4 linked regions of the Pelodiscus sinensis genome follow. The protein of the gene in region 1 interacts with the protein of each later gene in a biochemical or structural test. Links are inferred from orthologs where the notes say so. Each region holds a gene or a part of one and is shown in the gene's direction. Other genes may lie near its edges.

What was found.
Region 2: of the proteins of CDK1 (region 1) and HMGA1, one has a biochemical effect on the other in vitro, tested with the Homo sapiens proteins (3 studies listed by BioGRID and IntAct). The link is inferred for Pelodiscus sinensis from reciprocal best matches to the Homo sapiens genes CDK1 and HMGA1.
Region 3: the proteins of CDK1 (region 1) and CDC25C form a complex in vitro, tested with the Homo sapiens proteins (3 studies listed by BioGRID, with this or other methods). The link is inferred for Pelodiscus sinensis from reciprocal best matches to the Homo sapiens genes CDK1 and CDC25C.
Region 4: of the proteins of CDK1 (region 1) and PKMYT1, one has a biochemical effect on the other in vitro, tested with the Homo sapiens proteins (2 studies listed by BioGRID and IntAct). The link is inferred for Pelodiscus sinensis from reciprocal best matches to the Homo sapiens genes CDK1 and PKMYT1.

What each region holds. Positions count from the first base shown.
Region 1 is NC_134718.1:23,046,880-23,053,758, forward strand, and holds the start of CDK1 (cyclin-dependent kinase 1), read left to right. Parts: upstream 1-3,870; 5' UTR 3,871-4,016; intron 4,017-4,022; exon of another isoform or gene 4,023-4,249; intron 4,250-4,258; exon of another isoform or gene 4,259-4,485; intron 4,486-4,503; 5' UTR 4,504-4,592; intron 4,593-6,879. UniProt on the Homo sapiens protein: Plays a key role in the control of the eukaryotic cell cycle by modulating the centrosome cycle as well as mitotic onset; promotes G2-M transition via association with multiple interphase cyclins.
Region 2 is NC_134737.1:11,423,362-11,430,744, forward strand, and holds the start of HMGA1 (high mobility group protein HMG-I/HMG-Y), read left to right. Parts: upstream 1-4,364; 5' UTR 4,365-4,383; coding exon 4,384-4,505; intron 4,506-6,026; exon of another isoform or gene 6,027-6,100; intron 6,101-7,383. UniProt on the Homo sapiens protein: HMG-I/Y bind preferentially to the minor groove of A+T rich regions in double-stranded DNA. It is suggested that these proteins could function in nucleosome phasing and in the 3'-end processing of mRNA transcripts.
Region 3 is NW_027465994.1:524,313-531,381, forward strand, and holds the start of CDC25C (M-phase inducer phosphatase 3), read left to right. Parts: upstream 1-4,055; 5' UTR 4,056-4,197; intron 4,198-5,144; 5' UTR 5,145-5,170; coding exon 5,171-5,358; intron 5,359-7,048; coding exon 7,049-7,069. Other genes in the region: oocyte-specific histone RNA stem-loop-binding protein 2, read right to left, coding at 2,900-2,977. UniProt on the Homo sapiens protein: Functions as a dosage-dependent inducer in mitotic control. Tyrosine protein phosphatase required for progression of the cell cycle. When phosphorylated, highly effective in activating G2 cells into prophase.
Region 4 is NC_134714.1:134,509,088-134,516,067, forward strand, and holds the start of PKMYT1 (membrane-associated tyrosine- and threonine-specific cdc2-inhibitory kinase), read left to right. Parts: upstream 1-3,968; 5' UTR 3,969-4,098; exon of another isoform or gene 4,099-4,156; intron 4,157-5,150; 5' UTR 5,151-5,174; coding exon 5,175-5,549; intron 5,550-6,309; coding exon 6,310-6,800; intron 6,801-6,980. Other genes in the region: GREP1 (glycine-rich extracellular protein 1), read left to right, coding at 255-302, 488-547, 633-692, 865-930, 1,709-1,765, 1,886-1,951, 2,073-2,138, 2,329-2,382 and 1 more. UniProt on the Homo sapiens protein: Acts as a negative regulator of entry into mitosis (G2 to M transition) by phosphorylation of the CDK1 kinase specifically when CDK1 is complexed to cyclins. Mediates phosphorylation of CDK1 predominantly on 'Thr-14'. Also involved in Golgi fragmentation.

The sequences.
Region 1 (6,879 bases):
TCCCTCTCCACCAGACCCCAACCCAGGGCCCTATTAATGGTGGGTGGTTCCCACCACCGGCTCAGCGGAGAGTTCTCCCCGAAACGTGCCAAGCCCACCGGGGGTTCCCTGCCCCTTGCCCTGGGATGCTTCCTACCCCAGTCCTGTGGCTGACAGAGACTCCACCTGCAGAAGCTGGGCTGGCGGCGGCGGCGATGTTGGCAGGTCCGGTGTCTGCGGCAGCAGCGAAGGGGTTGTCCACCGTGGCGGGGCGGGTGACCCTCTGGAGTCAGTGTTGCGGGCACACTCGACCTGGGGACGGTAGTAGCAACGGGGCTCTTGCTCCGGCGGCAGGTCCAGTGGTGGCTCTGGAGGTTGGGCAGGAGCTCCTTCCACCCCGGAGGCCAAGCCCCTTCTGAGCAGCTCAGCAGTCTTTTGTACTGGGGCTGCACTGCGAGCATGCCCAGCAGGGCTGCGGGGGAGGGGCATATACCACCCAATAGGCGGGCTCTCCGCCCCCCTGTTCAGTGTGGGGCAGGTCAGCCCCACCACACTGACAAAAATGTTAAATTTAATTATGCTTTAGCTATACTCAGCCTCTTGGACTAGATCCTGTGCTCCATTTAGGTCTAAAACTAGAAATACATCAGCCCTTGTAGCAGAGAGGACTCCTGATGAGGGGAGAGAGCACAATTTAAAGATTGTGGTGGTATGCAGTGGGATTCACTGCAGATACTCAGCAGGAAAACGGGTCTGATTTCCTGGAAGCACTTTTGATGTCATAGTATTGACAACATAACAGCAGATGAACTCCACTCCTAAAATGAGCTACTCCTGACATAGGTGCAGACTTCTCTTCTACGTGGATGGGGGGAGGAGCATGTGCTCACTTCTCCTCTGCCCTAAGCCCTGCCCCCATTCCACCTCTTCCCCCAAACTCTCACATCTGCCTTACCTCTTCCTGCCCCTGGTGTGTCCCCAAGCACACCCCATGTCTACTGCTCCCTTTCCCTCCCAGCACTCCTGCACACTGCTGAACAGTTGATTGCAGCATGAAGAAGGCACTGGGAGGAAAAGGAAGGAGCAGGATCACTGAGGGGTGGGAGGGTCTGGGGGAAGGAGAAGCTTGGCTGCCTGTGGATGCTAAGCACCCACTAATCATTTTCCATGGGTGTTCCAGTGCTCCTGAGATTTACAGCCAAATGTGAAACTTGGAAGCTTGGAAATGTTCTTGTTGTAGCACAGGACTCGTTAGGCTTTAGACCCTGCTGCAGATGGTGTCAGGGATTGCTCTAGGCAGGTAAGGAAGCCAGTCTGGGAAGAGAAGTAATGAAGAGAGAGAGCTACTGCATCTGAATCACTTTCTGGGGGAGGTAGACAGAGAGCAGCTGTGGAGAGCCCAGCACCAACTGTGTTATGCAGGTGATGGGGGACAGGACTGTAGGCACTGGCAATAAAAGCTTAGAGCCAGGGCAGGCGAAATACAACCTGCAGGCCATATCTAGCCCACCACGATACTCTAGGCTACCAGTGTATCAAGGTCTAGCAAGATTTCTTGGGTAGCCTCCCTGCCTGCTGCAGCCTTATACACTGCTCAAAGTACTTGGCTGGTGGGGCCATGTGCATTTCTGCACCATGCACCTCATGTGGATGGGGGCTCTGTGTACTGCCCCACCTGCAGCACAATCCTCGCAGCCCCATTGGCTGGAAACCGGTCAATAGGAGCTGCCTGGGCCATGTTTGCAGCACAGAATCCTGTCCCAAGGTCCTGCTGGGCTGCTGGCCAAGAGTTGCCTAGGGTAAATGCTCCTGGTCAGATCCTGCACATAGCACTCCACCTCCTTCTTTCCCACCTAAGGTCACAACTGTCAAGTCACAGGGCCAGGGCTGTGGATTCGCTTCAAGACAGAGTCAATGGCTGCTTTTATTAATCTCACTACGTCATTACTGTTACAGGCTTAATACTGGCAAATGGTTACACAGCTACAGCAAAGTAATACAACAATCAGCATAGGCAAAGCAATGCATATAAGAGTAACAGGCACTTGAAAATGCTTGTGCCTGTTTAGTCTGCGGGAAGTCCTGTTCTGGTCTTATATTGTGGGAATAAGTAAATAACTGTTCCTTATTCACTTTTTCCACACTAGTCATGATTTTATATCCCTCCCTTAGTTTCTTCTTTTCTAACTTGAAAAGTCCAACTTTTTAAAAAGTCTAACTTTTTAATCTCTCTTCATATGGGACCCATTCCAAACCCCCTCATTATTTTTGTTGCCCTATTCTGAAACTTTTCCAATGACAATATATCTTTTTTGAGATGAGGCGACCATATCTGTACTCAGTATTCAAGATTTGGGTGTACCATGGTTTTATATAGTCATTAAGATATTTTATCTTATTCTGTATCCTTTTCTTAATGATTTCTAACATTCTATTTGTTTTTTTTTGTTTGTTTGTTTTTTTGCTGCACACTGAGTGGATGTTTTCAGAGAACTATCCACAAAGACTCCAAGATCACTCTCTTGAGTAGCTGTAGCTAAATTAGTCCCCATCATATTGTATGTATAGTAAGGATTATTTCTTCCAATGTGCATTACTTTACATTTATCACCATTAAATTTCATTTGCCATTTTGTTGCCCAATCACTTAGTTTGGTGAGATTTTTTTAAGCTCTGTACAGTCTGCTTTGGTCTTAACTATTTTGAGCAGTTTGGTATCATCTGGAAATTTTGCCACCTCACTGTTTATCCCTTTCTCTAGAAGAGAAGTGCCGTGGATGCTGCCAAGAGCAGCAAGGGAGTCTAGAGCCCAGCTGCCAAATGCATTGCCCACTCATTCTAGGAAGTGCCATAGCAGTTTTGCCAAGCTCAGGCCTGTATAAAGAGGGGAGAAGTTGGCAGCACATTTCATGGCAGCCAGGCTCTAGCCTTTATTTATGTATCTATTATTACAGTCTTTTCTGGGTTTGTAGACTCTCTAATCTCCCTGAGCATTTCTCAGCATGATGACCAGTGCAGCCCCTTCTAACCCCATAATTCTATGACTCTATCTAGGTGCCTAAGGAGCATCTCATGGAAAATATGTAGATGGGTACATCAGCTTAAGTATCTGCAAGCATTTTACAGAGTGACAATATTGTCCCATTTCAGGGGTGCTGCTAAGATACTGGATTCAGAGTATTAGATCCTGCAATGATGAGATGTTAGGGTTGCCAATTTTGATTGAAAGAATTCCTGGAGATTTTATCATCACATGACAATTGTTAATAAAAGATTAATCTTTAATTCCTGGAGAAGCTGCGCCAATTCTGGAGGGTTGGCAACCCTAAGCATGTGAGAGAAGGGAGTAGGGAATACAGCTGGTATCTCCACCACTAATTGTCTGGCCTAAGACTGATGTGGAGGTGCTGTCATTATTCACATTAATTACAAAAAATCTGAGGCAGATCAATAATGTTTCACTGAAAACATAGAGAAGTCCTTCATCCTAGGAGGCACAGACAGTTTAAAGTCCCAGCAGGGTACCTGTGTTAGTCTGTATCTGTGTTAGTCTGTATCTGCAAAGTCCTGTGGTAGGTACCTTAAAGACTAACAGATTTATTTGGGCACAAGTGTTTGTGGGTAAAAGCCATTTCACCAGATGCGCTCATGAAAGTTTGTGCCCAGATAAGTCTGTTAGTCTTTAAGGTGCCCCACGCTAGACAGATGAAAGACTGTTAAATATATTCCAAAGCAAGAAGCTTTCGGGCCTGTCAATGCCGTTTTGATTTTTAAAGACCCGCCCACGTTACATTATCTCCTTTGTGTTAGAAATCAGTGGGACGCTCAGTAGCATTTTCAGATTGAGGAGCCCGCCCGCGCCACTACTCGAGGCCGCCTTTCGGCGCGTCCTTGGCGCCTGCCCAGGAGCGCCTGCTGATTGGCTGCTTTGAATATCTCGGCGCGACGCAGTTGGCGGAGCTGGGGCGGCTCAGCGCGGTCAGTTCGAATCGGCCCCGCACAGGCGCGTGGGGCTGTTGGTGTCGCGAGGCAGGCGGGTGAGTGCCTGGGCCGGTGGGTTTCTAACTGGGAGCGGCCCGTGCCCTGAGCCTGTGAGGGAAGGACCCGCGTCCGGCTGCCCTGGGAGCGTGCGGCTCGGGCCGGGGCAGCGCAGCCAGGGTCCCGATGAACGCCGTGTCCGCAGCGCTCCGGGCCCGTCCCGCGGCCAGGGCTGGGGGCGGCGCGGGAGCGAAGCAGGCCCATTGAGGCTGGTAGCGAGCTGCTCTTGTCCGTACGTTAGTGCCACCGTGGGGAGGGAGCGCGGCCGCAGGGGTGCCTGGCGGCTGCCGGACCTCAGCCTGGCTCGGGGCTACACTCGCCCGCGCGTCCGGAAACGTTAACAGGCGTTTAAGCTCAAACCTGGGAACCTAAACGCCCCGTGACCGCCCCGGAGCACCTAGAAACCAGCACGTCTCTGTGCGGCGCCCTCCGCCACCTGCCCGTCTTTGTCTTTCTGAGCACTTGATGGTACGTTTTGTCTTCTAGTCAGCTTCAGCCTTCCCCTGCTCGGCAGACCGCTTCCTTTGTGTTGCCTTTTTAATACAGCAGAAGAGCAGGCGGTACGTTAGGAAAACGTAAGTAAAACCATAAAGGGCAGACATCTGAATAGTTACTTTAAACTTTCAGGTTGATAGATTATGAAAACTGAAAGTGCTTTAAGGTGCACTGTGTCATCTGGTAACCTCGCATTAGCGTTCATACAATACAACTTTGTGTATACAACTGTAGGAATTCATGACCTATAGATGTGGTAGAAAGGCCTCTGCCCCAAATAGGCTTTCTTTTATTGTGTTATATGTTTGAAGTAAAAGCAGTATTAATAACTTTTTTCTGTGTTACCTGAATTTAAATGTTGGGTAATCATGTTGCCAACCTCAAAGCCACCCCAAGATAATATTAAATTGTCTGTTCCTTTAGAATACTTCACAAAATGGTCCTGTCAAACTATGAAGAGCAGTAGTTCTCAAACTTTTTTGACCTGAAGCAAAATGCAGGACAATGTAGCACTTTAAAGACTAACAAGATGGTTTATTAGATGATGAGCTTTCGTGGGCCAGACCCACTTCCTCAGATCAAATAGTGGAAGAAAGTAGTCACAACCATATATACCAAAGGATACAATTAAAAAAAATGAACAAATATGAAAAGGACAAATCACATTGCAGAACAGGGGGGGGAAGGAAGGAAGGTAAGTGTCTGTGAATTGATGATATTAGAGGTAGGGAGAGTGGGATGTATGTGAGTTAATGGTATTAGAGGTGATAATTGGGGAAACTATCTTGGTAATGGGTGAGATCAAATGTTTAAGTCCTTTTTGGAAAGTGTCGAATTTTAACATGAATGACAGTTCAGAGGATTCCCTTTCAAGTGCAGATGTAAAAGGTCTTTGTAGCAGAATGACCTGTGGAGCACCTGGCTCAATGCAAACCTTTCTGTGGACCACCAGTTGCTAATGGAAACTCTCCGTTAATTACATAACTTTGCCCGAATCATTTTGCTAGTGCTTCAGCTAGGGAGAACAGTTTAATTTAAATAATTTAACTGATTAAGTTTTTTGACCTGTGGGGCTCTTGTGCATTTCAAAGGGCGAATATAGAACTCTGCCTGCAGCCCAGGGCCAGTGGGAAGTCCTACTGACTCTGGACTTCATGTGGGTGTGCCAGCTTTGAAGTGTACAAGAGTCCCCAACTGGGGCTCTTGTGCATTTCAAAGCAGAAGCACAGCATGGAACCTGGGGTCAGTGGGGGACTCAGTCCCCCTGCTGACTCCGGGTTCAATGCTGTGCTGCTGACTTGAAATGCTGCCTGGGGTTAGCTGAGAACCCCCCCCTCCCCCAGCTGACCATGGGTTCTGCGTGGCATTTCCCCAGAACCTGGGCTCTGTTGGGGGTCCCCAGCCGATCATGGGCTCCATGCTGCATTTCAGCAGAACCCAGGATCAGCTGGGGGGTCCCCAGCTGAGACTGGGTTCTGTGCAGCATTTCTCCAGAACCCAGGTTCTTCTGGGGACTCCCCAGCTGACCCTGGGTTCTGCAGAAATGCCAAGCGGAGCCTGGGATCAGGTGGGGAGTCCCCAGCTGACTCGGGACTCCACTTGGCGATGCCATCTTGAAACGCTGCCTCAGCGTTTCAAAGAGGCAACGCTGCACAGCTGAGCCTGGGATCAGCCTCTCCCCCCCGCCCCAAGGGGGGGGTGGGAATCAACTAGTCAACTGACTATCCGATAAGCATTTGTTTATCAGATAGTTGACTAGTCCTTAATATCCTTAGTGGGGAACATTCTTAGGACAGTCTCTCCTATGTTTTCCATTATTTCCTCTTCACTCTCAAATTTGTTTTGCTCGCTTCTCTACTAATGCAGTTCTTGTCTCCTTCCTGATGTCTTGGTGGCAGCACTGCAAAGTGGTGTCAAATGCAAAGCAAACAAAAAGATTGACAAAGTAGACCCTGCCCATGCCTCTGCCTCTATTTACATTCAAAAATTCAGTTTTTCTATTTTGAAGGTATCTCTATATATTTTCACTTTCACCCTCATATAAGCAATCAAAATAAATTAACAAACAGGTTTTCTTCCTTATATTTCAAACTGTGCTCCTTGCTCCATATTTGTCATCTGAAGAAGTTGTGCCTATGAAAGCTCTTGATGCTATTTATATATTTTTGTTACTCTCTAAAGTGCTACAGGGTCATTGTTTAAAATGTTTTTGTTTTTTTAAATTAGATACTAACAAGGCTACCGCTCTGAGACTTCCTGTCTCAAGTTCATTGTGTCCCCATTATGATCCTCTACTGCCTCTCCTAAAGTCTTATGCTGTTGTGAGTGGTTGGAACTAGGGATGTTAAGCAAGTATTTCACTAATTG
Region 2 (7,383 bases), on another chromosome or scaffold:
GTCTAGAGTGACCTAGACCAATTGGAAGATTGGGCCACAAGAAATCTAATGAGGTTCAACAAGGCCAAGTGCAGAGTCCTCCACTTGGGTTGGAAGAATCCCAAGCATTGTTACAGGCTGGGGACCGACAAGCAGCAGGAAAGGACCTGGGGATTACAGTGGATGAGAAGCTGGATATGCGTCAACAGTGTGCCCTTGTAGCCAAGAAGGCTAATGGCATATTAGGGTGCATTAGGAGGAGCATTGCCAGCAGATCTAGAGAAGTGATTATTCCCCTTTATTCAGCACTGGTGAAGCCACATCTGGAGTATTGCGTCTAGTATAGATAGGCCCCCCCAATATAGAAAGGATGTGGACGCATTGGAGAGGGTCCAGTGGGGGGTGACCAAAATGATTAGGGGGCTGGAGCATATGACCCATGAAGAGAGGCTGAGGGCTTATTTAGTCTGCAGAAGAGAAGAGTGAAGAGGGATTTGATAGCAGCCTTCAGCTACCTGAAAGGAGGTTCCAAAGAGAACGGAAAGAGGCTGTTCTCAGTAGTGACGGATGACAGAACAAGGAGCAATGGTCTCACGTTGCAGTGGGGGAGGTCTAGGTTGGATATTAGGAAAACCTATTTCCCTATTAGGGTGGGGAAGCACTGGAATGGGTTCCCTAGGGAGGGGGTGGAATCTCCATCCTTAGAGGTTTTTAAGACCCGGCTTGTCAAAGCCCTGGCTGGGATGATTGAGTTGGGGTTGGTCCTGCTTTGGGCAGGAGAAGGGGCTGGACTCGACCTCCTGAGGTCTCTTCCAACCCTGGGATTCTATGATTCTAATAAGGAACCAAATTTTGAAGGCAGCCTTGAAATATAGGGCAAAATCTCTCAGCAAAGGAACTAGACATATGAAAGGAAAACTCCATGAAATGTGACAGAGTTTATTCTCCATTGTCTTACACCTTGCTGGGGTCATTTTGTTTAGGCAATGTGGGTGTCAATCACTGTCCAGCCAAAATGCCAGCATTTTAAAATCACTTAGAATCATAGAGCTGGAAGAGGCCTAAGGAGGTCACCAAGTTGGCACAGGTGGAAATAACACAAGGCAATGAAGATTTAGACCTGTGATTTTATTATTTACTGTTAACTTTTATTTAAAACAAAAAAATAATATGCATCTACCTGTGTTACTAAAACTTTATATTGTAAAAAAGTAGGTTTAAAACAAAAACACATCAGCATGGTTGGTTTGCATCTCACCTCACTTGCACTGCTGTCAACTGAGATGAATCAAGCCCCGATCATGGTGTTTTTCTCTCACACCAGCGTTAATGAGGAATTACTTCACTGAATTCAGTGGCATTACCCACTATAAAACTAGTCTAAGAATTTTTACTTTTTTTTCCATTTATGCCATTTGTGTATTTTTCTATACATTAAAAACAGACTGGTCAGTTTCCCTTTCATTTTTAGTCTGTTTCAAACTTTGCAGCTGCCAGGAATAACAATGTGTGCTTAAATTAAGAACTCACAGGAGAATTTGCAACCACTTTTTCAAAAAGGGACTAATGAAAAAGAAACTTTACTGACTGGGATTTGTGATGGGAATTGTCAAACAAGTCAGAAAGTTAGGCACTCAACTCCCACTGAATAATGAGAGTTCAGTACCTAACTCCTTTAGGTTTCTTCTCAGTGTTCTATGTTCCTAAAGGGTTTATGTACTTTTCAAAATACTATTATATTTTGTATTGCATTCATTCGTAGGAGCTGAAGATATGGACCAATGTTCCACTGTGCTAAGCACTGGGCAAAAATCTTATCCCTCCTATAAAATGGCCTGATTTTCAAAGATACTGAAAATCTCAGCCCTCATCTAGAGCCATAGCTTTGATCCTGCATAAAATTGGCATTGGTGAATCTTTGTGGCCATGCTGAGCTTACTGCAGACCAAGAGCTTGCAAAAGCTGCAGCTACTCCGCAGGTCTGAAAAACCAGCTACTTTGATTTAGGTTCCTAAATCTTAAGTTAGGAATCTAACTTTAGGCACCCAGATTTTAAAACTTTGGCTCCCTGGATGAGTCTTCAGTTTCAGAAGAAAATGACAATGAAACTACTTTTAACTGCAGAGTTTGAAGCCCAAAGTCAGAGGAAGAACTTGGATGGGAAAATGATCCTCAGCAAAAGAGAAACGTTCATTTCCTCATCCAGGTGGGGAGAAATGTAAAACATACACAAAAGGCCATAATGGGGGACAAGTGAATTGGAGTTTAAAAATCCTTTCACTTTTAATAGACTTTGATCTTAGAATAACTTAGGTTAAAAAAAATGGGGGCTGGTGGTTTGTAGCTGACCATGTGGGGCTCGTTTTTCCTGATTACCAGCAGCTAAATCATGTTAAAATAATCTAAAGATACATTAAATAATACATTCCTAATGTCACTTTTCCATGTAAGCAATTACCATAGCTACTACACAGATACTATGCAATGGAGAACATGGGTCAGAGGTGGGCTAGAACAATCACAAATAGGAGGGGAGGTGACAAGACAATCTATTGATATTCAGCCCAGGCTGTGGAAAAGTTCCCTACATTACAGTACAGTGTCCTGATCTTTCATTCACCCACCACTGGTGTAAACCAGGACTTACATAGTCATAGAACAGCACAAGCAGGTCCCAAAAACAGGTCCCACCCTTGCTCACAATCAAAATGACTTCATGCATGTAAAAAGGGGGATTTTTGTAAAAAATTGAGGGTCTAAAGCTGCCTGCAAGCATCGCTCTCAAAAATAATAAATAGCTTCATATCTCAGCCCTTTGCCTGCTACCTATCCCACAGGAACCATACAGAAATCATTTCTCCTTTAAACCAAAGAACAATTGAGGGGCTTTCTTTTACCCTCTTTAAATATTTATGTGTCTAAATGACAACTCTGAAAAACAATTCTCTTCCCCTCTCCTTCATCTTACCAGATTTGTTTTGTTAAAAGGGGGAAGGAGACAGTGGTCCTGGCTGCTCCTGCTGGTTTTTGCTAGTGATGGTTCTTTCTTAGCCATTTTCCACCCACCTTCCAACATTGGCTTTAACCAAGCAGCACTTTTAAATCACCCTTCCCCTCCCCTTCTTTGCATGTTCCCCACCCACTGGTGATGACGTAGCGTCTGCTGAGCTCCACCCTTCCTCAACTAGAAGGGCTTAACACTCCCCTAAGCTTAGCCAGCCTGCCCTTATTTAATTTAGAGTGTGATTTTGCTATTTTTAGTAGCTGGATAGTCCCTCCTGTAAGGCTTGGAGGTTTTTTTTGTTTTTGGTCCCCTTCCTATTTCCCCCTCCCCCCCTCCCCCGTGCAAATGATTTTGACCCAGCTTCCTTCCTCTTGGAACAATTTTTTTTATTTATATAAATAAGAGAGCCCTGGCTGGTCTGTATATGTATGTGAGTGAGTCCCTGCCTTCTTGTTTCAGATCCGCATTTGCAATCAGCAGCAACCAGAAGGGGGGTTGGGGTTTAATTTGATCACAACACAGACTCACAAGGAAAAAAAAACACAACACCACACAGAGCCGAGACCGAGAGCAATTGTGAGTGTCTGGCCTTTTTTTTTTTTTTTTTTTTTTTCGTTTTGATTTGGGTGGAGGAGGTGTGGGGGGGGGGAGTTGATGTTTCTTTTCGTTTTTTTTACCATTTTTTAGTCGAATGTGCAGCTTGGGGGGGGGGCTAAAAAATCATTTTCCAATTGCAAAAAAAAAAAAGTAATTCTGAAGCCTGCTTGTTTGTTTTTAAGAATTTGCAGAGGAAAACAAGCCAGGCATGCGGAATCGATGTGCCCTTTTGCTTTGCTTCGCATCGTGCATTGCAGTATGCCAGGTGGGGGGGGGGGGCTTGCACGGGGCTGGAGGGGGGGGCAGAAACTGCAATGCTGCCTCTCCACCCTGCTTTATTTTTATCCTTAAAGCACCTGCTTTGGGAGCGGGGGGCCTTTCCTCAGCAGGTCTCCGAGCTGATGGATGGAAGCCCCTCCGGAGACCACCCCACCTGGGCGCTGGGGTGGAGCAGCAGTGGCTGGGGGGGGGGACACTAGCTTGCAATCGGCTCCGGGCGGCTGGCGGAGTGTGGCCGCTGCAGGGCTCGGGGGAGGGTGGGTGGCTTTGGCTGAGCTCTCGGTGCTCCTGATCCCCCCCCCCCCCTTCCAGCATTTGCGAGCTTTGCAAATACGCACACTCCGAGCCGGTTTCATTTTCAAATCGCGCGACAGCGCTTTCCTGCCCCTTCGCCGTGTCTTGTGCGCTGCGGCTCTGCCAATAGCGGCCGGAGCCGGCGGGCTGCCTTGTGCCTTGTGCAGCGGGCAGGTAGCGCGCTGGGACGCCCCCTCTCCTGCCCCTTTAAAGGGGCCGGGCCCGAGGCCATGTCTCTTTCCAGCCGCGACCAGACGGGGGTAAAGCCGCTGCGGGGGGGCGTGCGCGGGGGGAGGGCTCCATTTGCCCCTCCGGCTTGTTCCCATTGGGGACCAGAGAGGTGGATGCTAAGGTCGGTGTGTGCCCATGGAGATGGGGTGGTTTTTAGGGGGGGGTGCATGGCTCTCCCCCCCCCCCCCCCGGGAGGAGGGGGCTGGCACACTCTGCAGCGCCGGGGTGCTGAGAGCGATCGAGCTGCGCTGCCAATCTTGTGTGTGGTGGGAAGTACCAGCACCTGGGATCTCCCACGCTTGCCTCCCAGCTGGGGGCCAGGCCGGGTTTCCTGGGGGCTCCAGATAGCCCCCCAGGAAGAGCTCCGCTTCCGCCCCCTCTGGAGGCTGGGGCTGGCCTCAGTGGCAGTCCAAAAGTGGGGAGGGGGGGAACAGACCGTGGCCTGCCCCCGCTGTAAACTTTACCAGGTTTCTTTCCACTCCCGCTCCTTCCTCTTGAGGAGGGGGCCAGCCCTTTCTCCTGGAATCAAGCCCTTCTCCAAATGGGTGGCTTTTATTCTACCCTCCAGGGCTTCTGGTGGTGTCTCTTCCTGTGACCTCTCTCTCCCTCCCCCTTCTCACTTCCTTTTATTGTGCTCATTTAAAAGGATTGGGCTGCTCTCGTACAGCATTGGAATGTTCCTAAAGTTAATAGGGATGGAGTTGCATGCACATCCTGTCCGGTCCTTCCCCCTCCAGCCCTCCTCTATTCCTCAATCAAACAGGTTTTTATTTATGCTATTCCCTTGCTGCTGGCACCACCCTGCTTTGATGGTGTCCCTGCGCGGCTGCTCTGCCTTCTTGCACACGATGAGACTGAGATGTACGCAGGAGATGGGTCTCCACTGGGTCTCCCTTTTTGTGTGTGTGGTTCATCTGGGAGGTGGTGACTGGGCCTTGGATCGGCAGGGCTGGTTGCTTGGAATGGTGCTGTGAAACTGGGCTAGGGTGTGGAGACACGCCGGAGGCTTGTGCGTCCGAAAGAACAGCCGGAGTATCAGGTCCCTTCCTCAGGTGTCAGCCAGCCAGCTGCGTGTGTCTGCTGTGCTTTCGCTTCCTGCCCGCGGGGTTCAGGGCACAGCAAGACAGCCATGTGACCTGACTAGCTCCTCCTGCACCACTGACTGCTTCTCTTCGTAAGCCAGAGGCCTGGTCTACACCTAAAGCTTAGGTCGACCTGTGTCCCTGGGGGGCTGTGAAAAACTTCATGCCCTGAGCACTGTGTGTGGTTAGGTGAACCTAACCCCGGGTGTGGAGGTGGACAATGACAGAAGGACTCATCCCTCCACCTAGCTATTGTGGATTAATTAAGATGATGCCACAAAAATCTTCCATCTACGCCACGGCACTACAGTGGCATGGCTATTGTGTAGACCTGGCCTAGACAGGGAAGAGACCTATGACATCCCTGCACAGATATCCGCAGTTTCCCAGTGCCCCATAATGCTGCACTGAGGTTGCCTATCAGAGCTGCTGCAAAAACTGGAAGGGGTTTAGCCCAGAGAAGCTGCAAATCTATTCATGCAGCTTCCTGGATGCTGGGTAGGACCATCTACAAAAGGATTTGTGTTTCTAGCCTACTTCCTGGCTCTCTTTTCCTGCAGGGTAACACAGCTCTGCCAAAAACCTCGCTACTGGCTCAAAATGGGGAGATGGGACCCTGAATTAGCACAGTGGGGTGAGTCCTGCCCCATGCAGCTGCTGGAGAGGGGTTTCTCTGTGGGGCAGAGGGAAGTATGTTGTGAGTCCAAAGCTCTGCATGGCCAGATTTTCAGAGACAGATGCTCAAAGGATGTATCACCTCTGAGAAGCATCCTGGCTTGGAAGGTACCCAAGTGACCATGAATTTAACTTTTAAAAACAAACCAAAACATTAGGGCTGAGCGAGAGAATCCTTGAATAGCTTTTGGCTGTAGTGAGTAATGCATAGGGGTGTTTACATGAGGCTGCGGCTTCTGAGGTTTACTAACTCGTGAGTCACTTCCACAACTGAACATGAGCCCATATGCACTTTTTTTAAAAAACCTAGAAGGCCTGTGCATTCAGGATGCGTGTGTGGTTTCCTTGGGCTTTGATCCCACTATGCAACTTGTTTAGGAATCTGAACTTCCCATTTTGGGCTGTAGCAGTGAAGCCCTGGCGAGGAAGGCTGCATGGATGTCACGACGGGGTGAATTGTGCTGGTGTGAATTGGAGCAAAACTACCCATTGCTGAGGGTAGCCCTCTGTAAAGGGGACCCTGTGTGGTTGCTACAGCTGAGAGAGTAAATGGAACTGAAGCATCTTCAAAACCATTGTGTCTTGTTAGCGCTGCAAAGGCATTGCTAGAGATTTAATCTCTCTGCACAACCGCTTTCAGTGCTAATTAAATGGGCTCCCTGTTTTCCTGGGGGGTTGCGATCAGGTTCCAGGGGGAGGTTGCAAACCTCCTCTTTCTTTATAGCTAGGAGGAAGGTCCTGAAACACTTCTACTGCTGTAAGTTGATGGAATGGGGTCAGATCAGTTTGGAGAAGGTAGAAAACCACTGCCCAAGTACAATGGTCCAGAAGACACACACATGTGATACTTACAGTATATCTGTGCTGCAATTCCAGGACACGACTGCAGCTTATGTTGATGTACCAGAGCTACTTTTAATCTGCTTTTAGCACGTGGATTTGGCGCCGTGAAGTCGCAGTACCACAGGCTGACCACCTCAAGTAATTGATCTGGGTTCTAGGCAGCCTCATATAGCCCATGCCCCTGCTGCTTGGATTAAAGCTAGCTGAAGTATGTATAGGTGAGCTGCATTAGCACCCTGGGACTCACTGAACTACAGGAGGCCTTGCAGAACTGGGACCAAACCAAGAAACGTTGCACCCAAATCTTTAGGAGAAAAAATTGGGAGCAAATTGTGAAGACCTCTATTAAAAAATGCCAGGGTGGTGGTGCCCATTTGGTCAGATCTCAGCTAAGGATGG
Region 3 (7,069 bases), on another chromosome or scaffold:
TTGTTCCTACATGGAGAAGCAGGAAGGGGTAGCAATCGGAAGGTTTGATCAGTTTTGAAAGACACTCAGTCACATCCTGAATTCAAGCTCCTGGAAAGCAGCACACTTTGAGATTCCAGATCTCAGCAGATGGATGACTCAGTCCCTCTTAGGAGGGAGTCCCCAACCACCACCACTTTTCTTCTTTTGGGGAGGGGGGTTGTGGACCCCCCCATCCCTAGGACTACACATCCCATTCCTTCCAGTAGATGGTGTTCCCTTCTGATTTCTTCCCTGAGAGGTCCCTGCCAAAGCATTCTCCACCGTAGTGCCTGTGCAGAGAGCCTGAAAGCAGTTACTTACCTCTACAGGAATGGGAGACACCTGAGTTGGCCTTCTTCTCCAGGAGATTACATGCTGCCAGTTCTCTTCCTTGTCCTGTACTACCCTGACTGGCTCTTCAGCCTGCTGTGCCTGCAGGGTTAAATGCTGCCTTCTATCGAGGAAATCTTCATCCTCTGACAGAACGTAGGGTTGATACTTGAGCCTCAAGTCCTCTAATTTTTTCTTCCAAAACGGCGACCAGCTTGCACTTAGTGCAGATGAAATCATTTCTGTCTTCTGGGAGGAAGACAAACATGGCACATGTGGTGCAGGTAGCAGCAGACCCATCACCATCTCACCGCCTTCTTTCTGAGAGATTTCTCACATGTTTTTAAATGCCCCTTTGAAGGGCAGAAGAGAAAAAAATTCAAGGAAAAGACCAAACACTATGGGTCTCTCCTCAGGGTGAACTCTCAGGCAAACTACCCTGTTGGCCACTCTGGTTGCCTTCTTATAAAGCTGATGGTAGGTCTGTCTCAAAGCCTTGCCTCTAATCCAATCAGACCTGAAGGCACTGGCCACTGTCAGCAGACAGGATACCGGGCTGGATGGACCTTTGGGCTGAGCCAGTACGACTGTTCTTATGTAATATCTGTATACATAGATAAGTTGTAGTTTGATCTGTGGAAGAAATTCAGTTAATCTATGTTCTTACTGCCATATTCTTTGTGGTTTCTGTAATCGTTATTCCTGTGGCAATAAAATTGATTTTCATTGCATTTCCTAATCTGAAGTGTGACTGTCAATCGTCTGCAAACCCTTATGAGGGGGAATCTTTTGGTTCTACCCACTTGTAACCTGGGATAGAGAAGATCGACTTAGAATCTCTGGTCAGATTGGCGAGCCTTACCCAACTAAATTCCACTATATCTCCTCCCCAGGCTACAATATGTACAACCACTTTCCTGAACAATGGGAATTCTGAGCAGGGAAGGAGCCTAGGAGAAGGGAAGTGTCTTATTCTGTGAGCCATGCACTTCATCCATCCTTCATCCCAGGGATTCTCAACATTGTTCTATTTGATGCCCCCCAACATGCTATTAAGAATTCTAGGGTCCAGCAGAGTTAGGGCGACTTCTCAGGGCAGGGACCTTGGGTGTAGGCATAGTTTGACTTCTATTTTGAGGGCATCAGGGCCAGCAGTGGTTGATCCAGCTCTGTACAGTGGGACAGTTGTGCAGGAACATTTTAAAAAGTGAGCGTGGTGAGCCCCTTACCACTGTCCAGCTGGCATGTGGGGCTGGGAGTGCTGTAGCACTCCCTATACCCCAACTTCCCATGCCTATGCAGTGGGGTCCACAGAAAGAAGCCACCTTCACCCCAATTCACCTCAGCAAGTCAGCCTGGCTGGGTTGGGGGGAGCACAAGCAGAAATAATTTAAATGTGGTGGGCACAGTGCAAAAAGTTTGAAAACAGCTTAGAGTGCAGAGAGGGAGCAGCTAGGGACTATGTGCTGACAGGGGGTATCTCAGGATGCAGGGAGGAGTGGTGGCTAGGAGATGTATACAGAGAGGAGCTGGCTTAAGGTGCAGGAAGAGGGTACTATGGGCTGTGTGCTGGAAGGTGTCCCCTGCAGTCCCTGTTCCCAGAAGGGCCTGCCAACCATGGAACTGCATCTCTCCACTTGGGTGGCTCTTACCTGCTGCCTTTGTGGGTGCAAAGGGGGCTGGAAACTAAGGAGCAGATTCAGTCTGGGGCACCAGCAGAAGACGAGGGACAACGGCTGCTTCCTGCTCTGTGGCACTGGCCAGAGCAGCCGCTATCCTGCATTGCCTGGCTCTAGCTTTCTGCATCCAACCTAGCGGGAGGGCAGCAGGGAAACAAGTGGGGAGATGTACTGGAGACAGGTTCTTACACTACTATTTCAGGATACAAGAGGGGACAATGTCCTCCATATCTCCAACTCTGTTCCAGAAATTGGCCAGAGCAGCCGCTATCCTGCATTGCCATTTTGCACAAGGGGCTTTTGCACTGCTCCTTCTTGCGCAAAAACCCCCTCTTGTGCAAGAGCCGTTCTGCCTGAAAATAAGCAGCAGAACAGCTCTTGCACAAGAGGTGGCTTTTGCGCAAGAAGGAGCAGTGTAGACTGCTCCTTCTTGCGCAAAAGCCCCTTGTGCAAAAATAGTGGCTCATTAAGTATGCAAATGAGGCATGCCTCATTTGCATATGTTCTTTCACAAGTCTGGCCAATGTAGACATACCCTTGCTGTTTTCCAGCACAAATTGCTCATTCTTATGCCCTTGATCTCACTATATTAAACATGCTTATGCTGGAAGCCATAGAAATAATCCTAAATCGAGACATCTGGCAGTTCCCTTGCCAATTCTGCCACAGCACATCTAGCCATACAATGAGGCTGCACAGGGAGCTGCCACAGCACAGCAACATCAGGCCCAACATGAGCCAGGGAGACCCCATTTGGAGGGTTGCAAGCAGCTCCCTTGTCTCTTTGCCCCGTTAATTACATGCATTTTATCTCTAAGGATACAGTCAAATGTCTGTTAACTGTAGACAGACAACACATTTCCACCCACCTGTTTTTATCACATACAGATGCTGTTCCAGAGGTAGGCTCTTCACATCCCAGAACAAGAGGTTCGTGAAATAGAGAACTGCATGTCAATTACAGAAGAAAAATCAATTCTCCACCTTAGACAGAGTTTGCAAACCTTCCCTACAAGGCAGTGAGCTCAGTGATCCTACTACTCCTCGGCCGGAAGAACACACTAACTTCTGAAAAGCCAGTGCTTAGGCCAGGGACAGACCTCTCTTCTGCAGGTTGAGCTAGCTAAAAACTGAGCTTCCAAGAACAATTCCAAACCAAGGGCAGCAGTCACTGCCTGTGAAGGCAGCCAAAGGGCTCTGCGTAACAGAGTCTCCAAATGCCTGGAGAGGATGATCAGCCAAGTGAGACACAGGCTAGAAGCGTTATGCACAAGAAGTCATGCTAACAAGGTGCCAAGCACGCCCTGCTCCTGCACTTCTGGTCCTGAATAAGCCCGGAGTGCCGCCAGCGGGCAGCAAGGCCAGCTCCATCACCTAGGCCCAGATGCTTTCCTTCCTCAGGGACACTGCAGCAAGGGCCCCAGCCATGCACCAGCCCCTAACTGGAAAGCCACTGGCCCAGAAGGCGGGAGCCCGGGTGCCCTCTGCTCCTTCCCGTCCCTGTGCACCAGGCGCAGACACACCCAGCGGCGGCTTCGCTCCGTGGCCGTGCCCGAGCCCCGCAAGCGCCCAGCTCCCAGGGACCGCGGGGGCGGGTCCCCCAGCTCGGTCAGGGCAGCGCCGGCCCCACGTGGACCGGGAACCCTCCCAACGGGGCGCTGACTGACAGGGGAACAGCGCGAGCGCGGCCCACGCGCCCCACCTGCAGGCCAGCGGCTCCCAACCGCCCAGCGCGTGAGACTCTGGCAGCATGAGAGGCAAGCGGTGGGGGTGTATGCAGCACTACGTCACAACCAAGCAAAACCTTCCCCATTCGATAGGCCGGCCTCGCCTCACTGATATCTACGGCCGCAACCCCAGCAACCACGTGCTCCCGGGGACGGTGATTGGCCTCACAGAGCCACAGATGGGCGGAACCCCTTCGAGCGTCCAATAGAAAACGTTCCGTCCGCTTCTCCCCGAATAGGTGCGCACCTCGCTCGAGTCACGCGGATTTACCCAATCAGAGAGCGGCGATTTTGTTTGGGAGGGGGGCATCCTTCAGTCGTTCTGATTGGTCACGATCGGCACCAATCTCTGTGATTGGCTGGGCTCAGGCGGCAGGTTTAAGTTCCGAGTATTCTATTTTCATTCAAGTCTGTGGGCTCGGGACCTGGAGCTAGAGGGGGTGAGGCCAAGACCTGAGAGCAGCGGGCGGGAGGCCCCGGGGATGGGCGCGGGACGCTGAGAGCAGCGGGCGGGAGGCCCCGGGGATGGGCCCGGGAGGCTGAGAGCAGCGGGCGGGAGGCCCCGGGGATGGGCCCGGGAGGCTGAGAGCAGCGGGCGGGAGGCCCCGGGGATGGGCACGGGAGGCCGAGAGCAGCGGGCGGGAGGCCCCGGGGATGGGCACGGGAGGCTGAGAGCAGCGGGCGGGAGGCCCCGGGGATGGGCCCGGGAGGCTGAGAGCAGCGGGCGGGAGGCCCCGGGGATGGGCACGGGAGCCCGAGAGCAGCGGGCGGGAGGCCCCGGGGATGGGCACGGGAGCCCGAGAGCAGCGGGCGGGAGGCCCCGGGGATGGGCACGGGAGGCCGAGAGCAGCGGGCGGGAGGCCCCGGGGATGGGCACGGGAGGCCGAGAGCGGCGGGCGGGAGGCCCCGGGGATGGGCCCGGGAGGCTGAGAGCAGCGGGCGGGAGGCCCCGGGGATGGGCCCGGGAGGCCGAGAGCAGCGGGCGGGAGGCCCCGGGATGGGCACGGGAGGCCGAGAGCAGCGGGCGGGAGGCCCCGGGGATGGGCACGGGAGGCTGAGAGCAGCGGGCGGGAGGCCCCGGGGATGGGCCCGGGAGGCCGAGAGCAGCGGGCGGGAGGCCCCGGGATGGGCACGGGAGGCCGAGAGCAGCGGGCGGGAGGCCCCGGGGATGGGCACGGGAGGCTGAGAGCAGCGGGCGGGAGGCCCCGGGGATGGGCCCGGGAGGCCGAGAGCAGCGGGCGGGAGGCCCCGGGATGGGCACGGGAGGCCGAGAGCAGCGGGCGGGAGGCCCCGGGGATGGGCACGGGACGCTGAGAGCAGCGGGCGGGAGGCCCCGGGGATGGGCACGGGAGGCTGCCGCGGGTGACTCGGTTCGCGTTGCTCCTAGGTGGCGGCTCCGCGGGCCGCAGCGCCATGGCCGGGAATATCTCCCCTGCGGGACCCGGCAGCCCCCGTTCCCGTCTGGGTTTCCGAGCCAGATGCAGGATGGTGCTGAACTTGCTGAGGGACACGGAGGTCTCTCTGCCCTTCACCCCGGAGCTGCCCCGCACCCCGGTCACGGACCTCGCTCGAGGCTTTAGGAACCTCAGCACCTTGGCAGGGTAAATCCCATCGTGGCCACCTCCTCCAGGAAGAGGCCCCCCTCGGGTACTGGCAGTAGGTGGGGAAAGTCTGCCTGGTAGTGGGATGAGGAATAGCCCCAGGCACAAGGCTCCGATAGCCACCCTGCCAGCCAACGCTGTAGTAGGAGGAGAGGGGCTGGGCCATTCACAAGCTTGGCTTGTTCTGGGCTGATTTCTTTGCACCCAGGCTGCCCAGCAGGCAGAGACCTAATAGTGCGTCTGTTCTCCCTTTAGCATAGCAGCCCTGGTGGTGCAGGTAGCATGGAAGATGAAGCTGGGATGAAAGTCAGTCTCCTTGCTCAGCGTGAACCAGGGTGCACGTCAACTGGTGCTGCTACAAGGGCTGGGGCAGCAGCTTGCTCTTGAGGGGTGGGGTGATTGAGACATTGAGGTCTGAATTTAGGACAGTGGTCTCTGCCCTTTTGAAGCACAAGATCACTTTTTGAAGTGCAGGGTTTAACTCAAACCCAAATATCCCCGCCCTGCCCCTTCTCCAAGGCCCTGCCCTTGACCCACCCCTTTGCCAAGGCCCTGCCCTCCTCACTCTGAGGATGGGGTACAGGGGAGGGGGACAGAGTGACATCAGCACCCCCTGCCTCTGACTCCCCCACCCTGCACAACAAGCAGGAGGCTCCCAGGGGGCAGCTCTGAGGGTCTGGGCAGGGAGAGGCAAGGCAGTGTGGGGAGGGGCAGCCAAACCAGTCAGGATCACCTGTCAGAGGCTCCTGTCTATAAGACTCTGTCCCTGCTTTTGCAAGGAATTCTGAGCGGGCTTTTCATTAAAAAAAAAAAAAATCAAAAGTCTTTTGGTGTAAATAGCATGGCCACTAGAGATGTTAAATGTCGGTTACCTGAATAGCCAATTAACCTCATGAATTCTTATCAGTTACTTGACTATTCTATAGTCCCTGGGGGTGAGGCAGGGGCTGGCAGCCAGCGTGCTCTGGCCCTGCTCCTCAGAGGCCCCTGCCACCACTGTATCAGAGGCAGGAGCGCGGGGTGCCAGGCAGGAGCTAGTCTGCAAAGGGAGCCAGTTCAAAAACCAGTTCCCCTCACAGACCTGCTGCCTGTCACCCCACACTGCTGCCTCTGATACAGAGGCAGCAGCACTGCGTGGCAGCAGCCCCTATCCAGGGGCTGAGCTCCCAGACCTGGCACAAGCCAGGACTGAGCTGGGCTGCCAGCCTGCTTGGCTCCTAATACATTTGAAATGCAGAGCCGCAGTGGGGTAGGTCCCAGACCTGACGCAAGCCAAGACTGAGCTGGGCTGCTGGCTGGCCTGCTAAAAGTACTGGCAAGGGGGGAATGCGTGTAGTCTATAGCATTAATTTATAAGCTTTTGCTTATTGGTTAATCGACTACACTATTACATCCCTAATGGCCGCTAAACTTCTCGGGGGGGCCTGAGGAGCCATCTCTGACTGAAAGGAGCCATCTTTTTATAAAAGTGCCCTTAAGAGCTCCCAAAGTGGCTGACAGAGCTAATGTTTTGATGGGGGTGGATAATCTTATGGTTCTGGTGGCTCTAAGCGGGGGCATGATGCAGAAGAGAGTTCTGACAGAGATCCTCCTTTTGAGTCCAGTCTTCCATCAATCAGCATGTGAACATCCTGGTAATTGTCACCAATATTTCCATCCTGATGCTTTGGGTTTTGATGTGTTGTTGCAGGAATACGCCAAAGTGCTGTCT
Region 4 (6,980 bases), on another chromosome or scaffold:
AACTGCCATGCCCCCTCCCCTCCCTGGGCAGAGAGGAGCTCACCTGCCGAGCAGCCTGAAGGGTTTGAAAGAGATTTATCTATCCTTGCCTCCAAAACCCACAGCCCCCTGCTAACCATCCCCCTCACTGCTAGCCCCCTCCCTCTCCACCCCCCGCCCCGATGCTTCCAGCCTCCAGTGCCAGAGCCCACAGTGCAGAAGCCAGATTCTTCTGTGCTCTAGGTTGGTCTCATTCTGGGATCTCCCCCCCACAGGTTATGGGGCAGGACCCAGAGTTGGCAGCTACCCCACAGCTCAACAAGGTAAGGGGCATGAGCTAAGCACAGCACCCCCTGCTGAGAGAGCCAGAGCTGGAGTAGAAGGGGCTCCCCCCCCCCGCTGCTAGCACTTTTACCCTGCTCCCCACGGCACCCCCCACAGCACCCCTTACTGGGAGAGGCCAGGGCTGGAGCAGTGCACCCCAATCTGGATTCTCTTTGCTCTGTAGGAATCGCTGGAGTAGGCGGTGGATACCTGGCCAATGGGGCACAGCCAGGATACAGGAATGGTAAGAGGACCACAAATTGTACCTCACTTCCCGCCCCCCCTCCACATCCAGGCTGAGCCTGTCTGATCTCCCATCTCTCTTCTAGGCTACGGTGCAGGAGGGAACAGTCACCCTGGGGCCGGACTCCAGTCAGGATATGGCAACGGTGTGCCCAGTGACAGAGGGAGGAGAGCGAGGGGCGGGGCAGGGCTGGGCTGGCAGGGGGCTGCAGGGCAGGAATGAGGGGTTCTGGCCGAGCTGTGGGGGGAATCCAGGGCTGTGGGTTGGAACAGAGGTGCACAAGCCAAGCTAACTGCCTTAATCTATTCCATCCCCAGGTGCCCAGGCTACCTACTTAGGGCATTTTGCCAGCCTTAGCACAGATCTCTCAGCTGCTAAATATGGTGAGTCCTTCTGACCGCAGAGCCAGGAATTGCTTAGCTCTGGGAAGTAGGAAACGGGACACAGGGCCTTGTGCTCCAATCCAAACCCAGTACGGGGGACTGGCTGGCTGAGGGAGGGGCAAAGGAGTGTGCCCCCCATCCTGACACCCTGTCCATGCTGTAGGCCTGGGCCAGCTCCCAGACCATGGGCAGTTCCAAGAGACCATGCCCATTGGTCTGGGGGGAGACTATGGTGCTGGGAAATGAGGTAGGTGTGAGTAAGGGCTCTGGGCTCCTACGGTGGGTGAACTTGTCCATAGAGTTGCTATAGAGGGAAGTGTGAAGGGCAGACACCCCCCCCCAGAAGATTTATTTCAGGTGCAGCAGCAGTGTCCCCAGTAAGCTGTGCTCTTGGGTGGCCTCCTAGAAAACATTGAAATGCTGCCCAGCTGACTGGCAGAGTGCCCACAGCCGCCTACATGTGTTTCTATTGGTAGTGCACATCCACACATGCCTCGGTGCACAGCAATCTGTGCCATGCCGCCCAGTATCTTCGTCCCACCCCCACCCTGTGCAGGGATGTGGGCGGGGGGCTGGGATGCCCCTTGCCAACCCTGCTTTGCCTAAACCAGTGGTCACCAACCAGTAGATTGGGATCTACCAGTAGATCCTGGAGCCTCCCGCAGTGACAGCTCCCTTGGTTCCCAGCATACCGTCCCGCCCTGCCCGTAGGCAGTGCAATCTCCTGTCCCTGTGCTGAGATCTCCACTCACCAACACTACCATGTTTCCTCCTCCAGGTGGTGCAGGGCAACTAATGTACAGGGCACAACAGGCTGGGCCCAGTTCCCTGGATGGTAAGAGATGGTGAGGGGCTGTCCAGTCACATGGGTCCCCCCTTGCCTCTGGACACATGTATACTCATCCCCAGGGGCTCAAAGCCCCTTCCTGTGCTAATTTCCTGCCCCCTCCCCCAGCAGGCAACGGGAATGGACTGGGACATGCAAACGGAGGGGATCTGCAGGCTAACGGACTGGCTGCTGGTAAGATCCCCACCCTGCACCATTTGCTTCTGGGACTGAGGGAGCTGGGAGCTCCCCCCACAGCCATTGCTCCTGCCCCACTCCACTCCACCCCTCCTGATAACTCTTGTCGCTGTTGCAGGGGGATACGGGCCACTCACAGCAGGGCAGGCTCCTGGAGGCTATGGACTCTCCCCAGCAGCATATGGTAGGAGTGTGTGTGGGGGGGAGTGGGGGAGAGACGCAACATTTTATCCTATTGTCTTGTGATGCAACCAAAACTGCTCTTGCATGCGTGTCCTGTGCCTTCCCCTGCTGTCCAGAGAGAGTCATTCTCCTTTGGGTAGCAGACGGGGATGGCCAGTGACCAATTCTCATCTGCTCCCACCCGCTTCTAGGAAGCAAGGAGGCCAAGTATGGGCTGAACGGCTTTCTGGGGAATGGATACAGAGGTAAGAATTGGGGAAGGCATGTGTGTTGGTGGGGGGTGAATCTTGGAAACAGGGAAGAGCTATGACTCTTGGAGGGGATTATCTTGGGGGAGGACACAAGCTAAAGGAGCCAAATCTCTGCAGTTTGGCTAAGGGCTTGACATGGGCAGTGGCTGCAAATGTCACAGCAGGGTGAACTTCAGGAAGAGTACAGTATTTGGGTAAGGAGGAACGCAGCCCAGGTAAGACGGATGATGGTATATCCCATATAGAATCAATGCCCTGTTATCTAGAGAAAGAGAAGGCAGGGGCTCTGGGAAGGAATAGCTCTCTATCCCCACATGTGTGGGTGGATGCACTAGTCTCCACTCACCCTTGAAGATGTGCTGCTCTCTTGAAGCTCTGACCTCATGCTTCTCTTTATGCCAGGTCGCTGCCCTCCCGGGAAGTGCTGAGTCCCCGACCTTCACTTGGGGAACTTCGCACCACAGGATGGCAGAAGCCTACCGCTTCTGGTGCTGAAAAAGCAAAGAATTTCTCCTGAGATAAATTATCGTCTCTTTCTCTTTATTTTTAATGGCTACAGATCTGTCTTTTTAACAGAAAAACAAACAGTGACTGGTAAATGTAATGTGTTTGGAAAGTGAGGCTGCAACCCTTCTGACCTCCCTTCCTCTTGGGCTTGGCCAGCGAGGAGAGAGGGGTTTTAAGGGTAGGCCTGTACAGGAATACCGGGAAGGTCGGAGCGGGGTGACTCGGTTGTTAACTCCCTTTTACTGGCTAGGCAGAGAATATGTGTTTGTAGCTAGAGAGTGGGATGTGGGAGCGCTTGCAATAAAGATCCCGCACAAAGCTGAAGTCTCGAGATCTCTGTACGCCTGCGCGCTGTCCCAGTTCCACTGTCGTTCACACCTCCCACGGCAATTGGCGTTTGCTCTCCGCACACTCCGGCAGAGGCTGGCTCTTCTCCAGGCACGTTGTGAAGCTTTTCTTCGCCATCATAGTGCTAGAATCGTCATTAAGAAAAAGTAAAGCTGAGTCTCTGTGGAAGGATGGGCAGGGGGCCGTCCAGGCAAGCGGGGCTAGTCCTGTTTGCCCCGGGCAAGGAGAGATGGGGGGTGATTTTCTCTGGGGGAGCTGACATAGTGGAGGGATTCCCACCCCACACCCAACCGTGATTGGTCAGCCCCTCCCCCCATGCAACCTGACGAAGCAGCTTGTCTCCTCACTCCCCCCCCCCATTGGCTTGCCGGGGGGGGGGGGGGGCCTGGACATGGGGCACCTGGGGGTCGTGCTCTGGGGAGTTCTCCCCACAGGAGTGGGGGCGAGGGTGGTGAATGTGGGTGAGGCGGGGGAAGGGAATCGCTATCCCTGGGGGGGGCTGTCCCTGAAGAGGGGGGTGGCAGTGGAGGGGGCTGCCCTGAGGGGGGGTGGGGGGCTGCTACTGCAAGGGGCTGGGTTGGGGGGAGCTTGGCCACACTTTGGTTGCCGCGGTGCATTGTGGGCGGGAACGTGTCTCGGCCGCGCTCCCCCCCCCGCCCCTCGGAGCCGGGCTGCGGTGGGCGGGGTGAACGCGCGCGGGAGGCGGGGCCACCCCGGGCCGCCGCCGCTGATTGGCTAACGTGGTGAGGCGGGGGAGGACGGTTGGCGGCTCGCGCCGCGCCGGACGGTTTTGGCGCCAAACGGAGCGGCGGTTGGGCCGGCTCGGGGCGCGCGCGGGGAGCCCGCCACATCCGGGTACTTGCGGCCAGCGAGCGCGGCGCTCCCCCCTCCCCCCGCGGGGACCGGGGAGGAGGTGAGGCCCCTTGGCCCCGCCCCCCGGGGGCTCTCTCGCGCTGGGGGGCCCACGCCGAGCGCCCCCAACTGCGTCTCTGTCAGAAACCCGCCCCCCCGTCACTGGGCCCCCCCGTCACTGGCCCCCCCGCTGTCAGAGCCCCCCCACTACTGGGCGACCCCCCCCGTCACTGACCCCCCCCGCTGTCAGAGCCCCCCCGCTACTGGGCGACCCCCCCCCGTCACTGACCCCCCCCCGCTGTCAGAGCCCCCCCGCTACTGGGCGACCCCCCCCGTCACTGACCCCCCCCGCTGTCAGAGCCCCCCCGTCACTGACCCCCCCCCGCTGTCAGAGCCCCCCCGTCACTGACCCCCCCGCTGTCAGAGCCCCCCCGTCACTGGGCTGCCCCCCCCCGTCACTTACCCCCCCCCTGCTGTCAGAGCCCCCCCGTCACTGGGCTGCCCCCCCCGTCACTTACCCCCCCCCGCTGTCAGAGCCCCCCCGTCACTGGGCTGCCCCCCCCCGTCACTTACCCCCCCCCCCCGCTGTCAGAGCCCCCCCGTCACTGGGCTGCCCCCCCCGTCACTTACCCCCCCCCCCCCGCTGGCAGAGCCCCTCCGTCACTGGGTTCCCCCCATTACTGAGTCCCCCCCACCCTGCTAGGTCCCCCCTTCACTGAGCCCCCTGCTGTGTCAGGTTGCCCCACTGGCCCCCCTGCTAGCCCCCATCACTGACCCCCCCTGTCACCAGCCCCTTTCCCCCAAGCTGGCCCCCTGTGTCTTCCTGGCTGAACCCCTCCCCGCGCTGTACCCAGCCCGCCAGGGCCCCCCACTTTGCCCAAGGCAGGGACCGTGCGGGGCGTCCCCCACCCTGTTTTTATACCAAGGGACTGGCCTGCAGAGCCTATCCTGCCCTCCCCACACCCCTCGCCCATGCCAATGGGTGCTGACCTTGAGACACAGCCACCAACCAGCCCCTGGTGCTCTCCCCAGCTGCTGTCCTCTTCTCCCTGCAGTGTCTCCCCCTGGCAGAGCCAGCCATGCCGCTGCCCCTGGACTACGCGGGCACCGAATCCCAGCTGAGCCGCACGCCCCTGCCCGTGCCCGTGCCGGCCTTCTTCCGGGAGGCCGAGCGCAGCTTTTCAGTGAAGAAGCCGGGTCGGCCACTCAGCTACACCCTCCCGCCCCGGCCACGCCACAAGGGCACTCTCACTGTCAGCCGGGTCTTTGCCAGCCGCCAACCGCAGCCCTGGAGCCAACCTCGGCCGCGCAGCGTCTCCTTTCGCAGCTCCCAGGATCGGGCGCTGGCCCCACATAGCCGCCTTTACAACCCTGCCCGCAGAGAGCCCTTCTTCAGTCAGTGCTTCCAGCTGCTGGGCCGGCTGGGGCGCGGCTCCTTTGGGGAGGTGTATAAGGTAAGAGGGCTAAGGTGGCAGATCCCAGCAGGGGACGGGATGTGGGAATTGGGGGCATCTGGGATGAGGAATTCTAGCTAAGAGATGCAGAAATTAAGGGGATCCCATCTAGGGACATAAGCGACTAGCCGAGTTGTCCACTGGTTGCTTCCCCTCCCGCCGGCTGCCTTTATCCTAGGCAGCAAGGGCTGGGGGAGAAGGAACCAGTGGAGGGAAGAGCCCCCTTGAAAGCTGAGGCAGAGCGCAGGGAAAGGAGAGGCACCACAGGGGACCAGACTCGAGCCAGGCATCACCTGTCCCGGCTTGCACCTGGTCCCAGACGCTACGCCTCTGCTTTTTAAATGTAGTAAGGGCCTGGCAGCTCTTACGACATTTAAAAGGTAGAGCCACAGCAGGTTTAGCTCCCGGGATTGCACAAGCAAGGACTACTTACTCCTGGCTCATGCCGCCCCAGGGAGCTAACCCTGCTGCAGAGCTACAGTGGGGGCAGCGTTCCCCCCCCCCCGTCCCCCCTCCAATTGACTAATCAAGTAGTCAATGGAAATTCCATCCACTACCTGTTAGCTGATTTTCCACATTTTAACATCCTTAATCCCAGCTGGGGGGTGAGCATGACTCATCCTGAGCCTGTTCCCCTGGTGGCTGATTCAGACTCCCCCAGGTTTGCAGCATGGAGGGTGAGCATGGAGTTATTTTGTGGGGAAAGGAAGTAATCTGTTGGGGGGAATCTGTGTCCCCCATGGCTGACCTTCCCTCACAGGTGCGCAGCAAGGAAGATGGGCGACTGTACGCAGTGAAGCGCTCAGTGGAGCCATTCCGGGGAGCCGGCGACCGACAGCGCAAGCTGGCCGAGGTGCGGAAGCATGAACAAGTGGGGCGCCATCCCAACTGCGTGAGCTTTGTGCGGGCCTGGGAGGAGCGGGGCCAACTGTACATCCAGACGGAACTATGCCCGGCCAGCCTGCTGCAGCATTGTGAGGGACATGGACCGCTGCCTGAGGGCCAGGTGCGGGCCTGCCTCTGGGACCTGCTGCAGGCGCTGCGCCATCTGCATGCCTGCAGGCTACTGCACATGGACATAAAGCCAGCCAATGTCTTCCTCACCGAGCGCCACGTCTGCAAACTGGGCGACTTTGGCCTGGTGCTGGAGTTGGACCGTGGAGACCTGAGTGATGCCCAGGAGGGTGACCCACGCTACATGGCACCTGAGCTGCTGCGGGGGGAGTACAGTGAGGCAGCTGATGTCTTCAGGTGGGGCCTCTAGAGTCAGGGATAGAACCCAGATGTCCTGTCTGACTCCCAGCCCAATCCTTCTGTCCACTACTAGACCCATCTTCTGGCCTCCACTCCACGCACCCCCTTCCTTGACCACTACCATCCCCTCACCCCATGTGCTCCAAGGCCAGGCACCCAGATGTGCCAGAGAGCAGA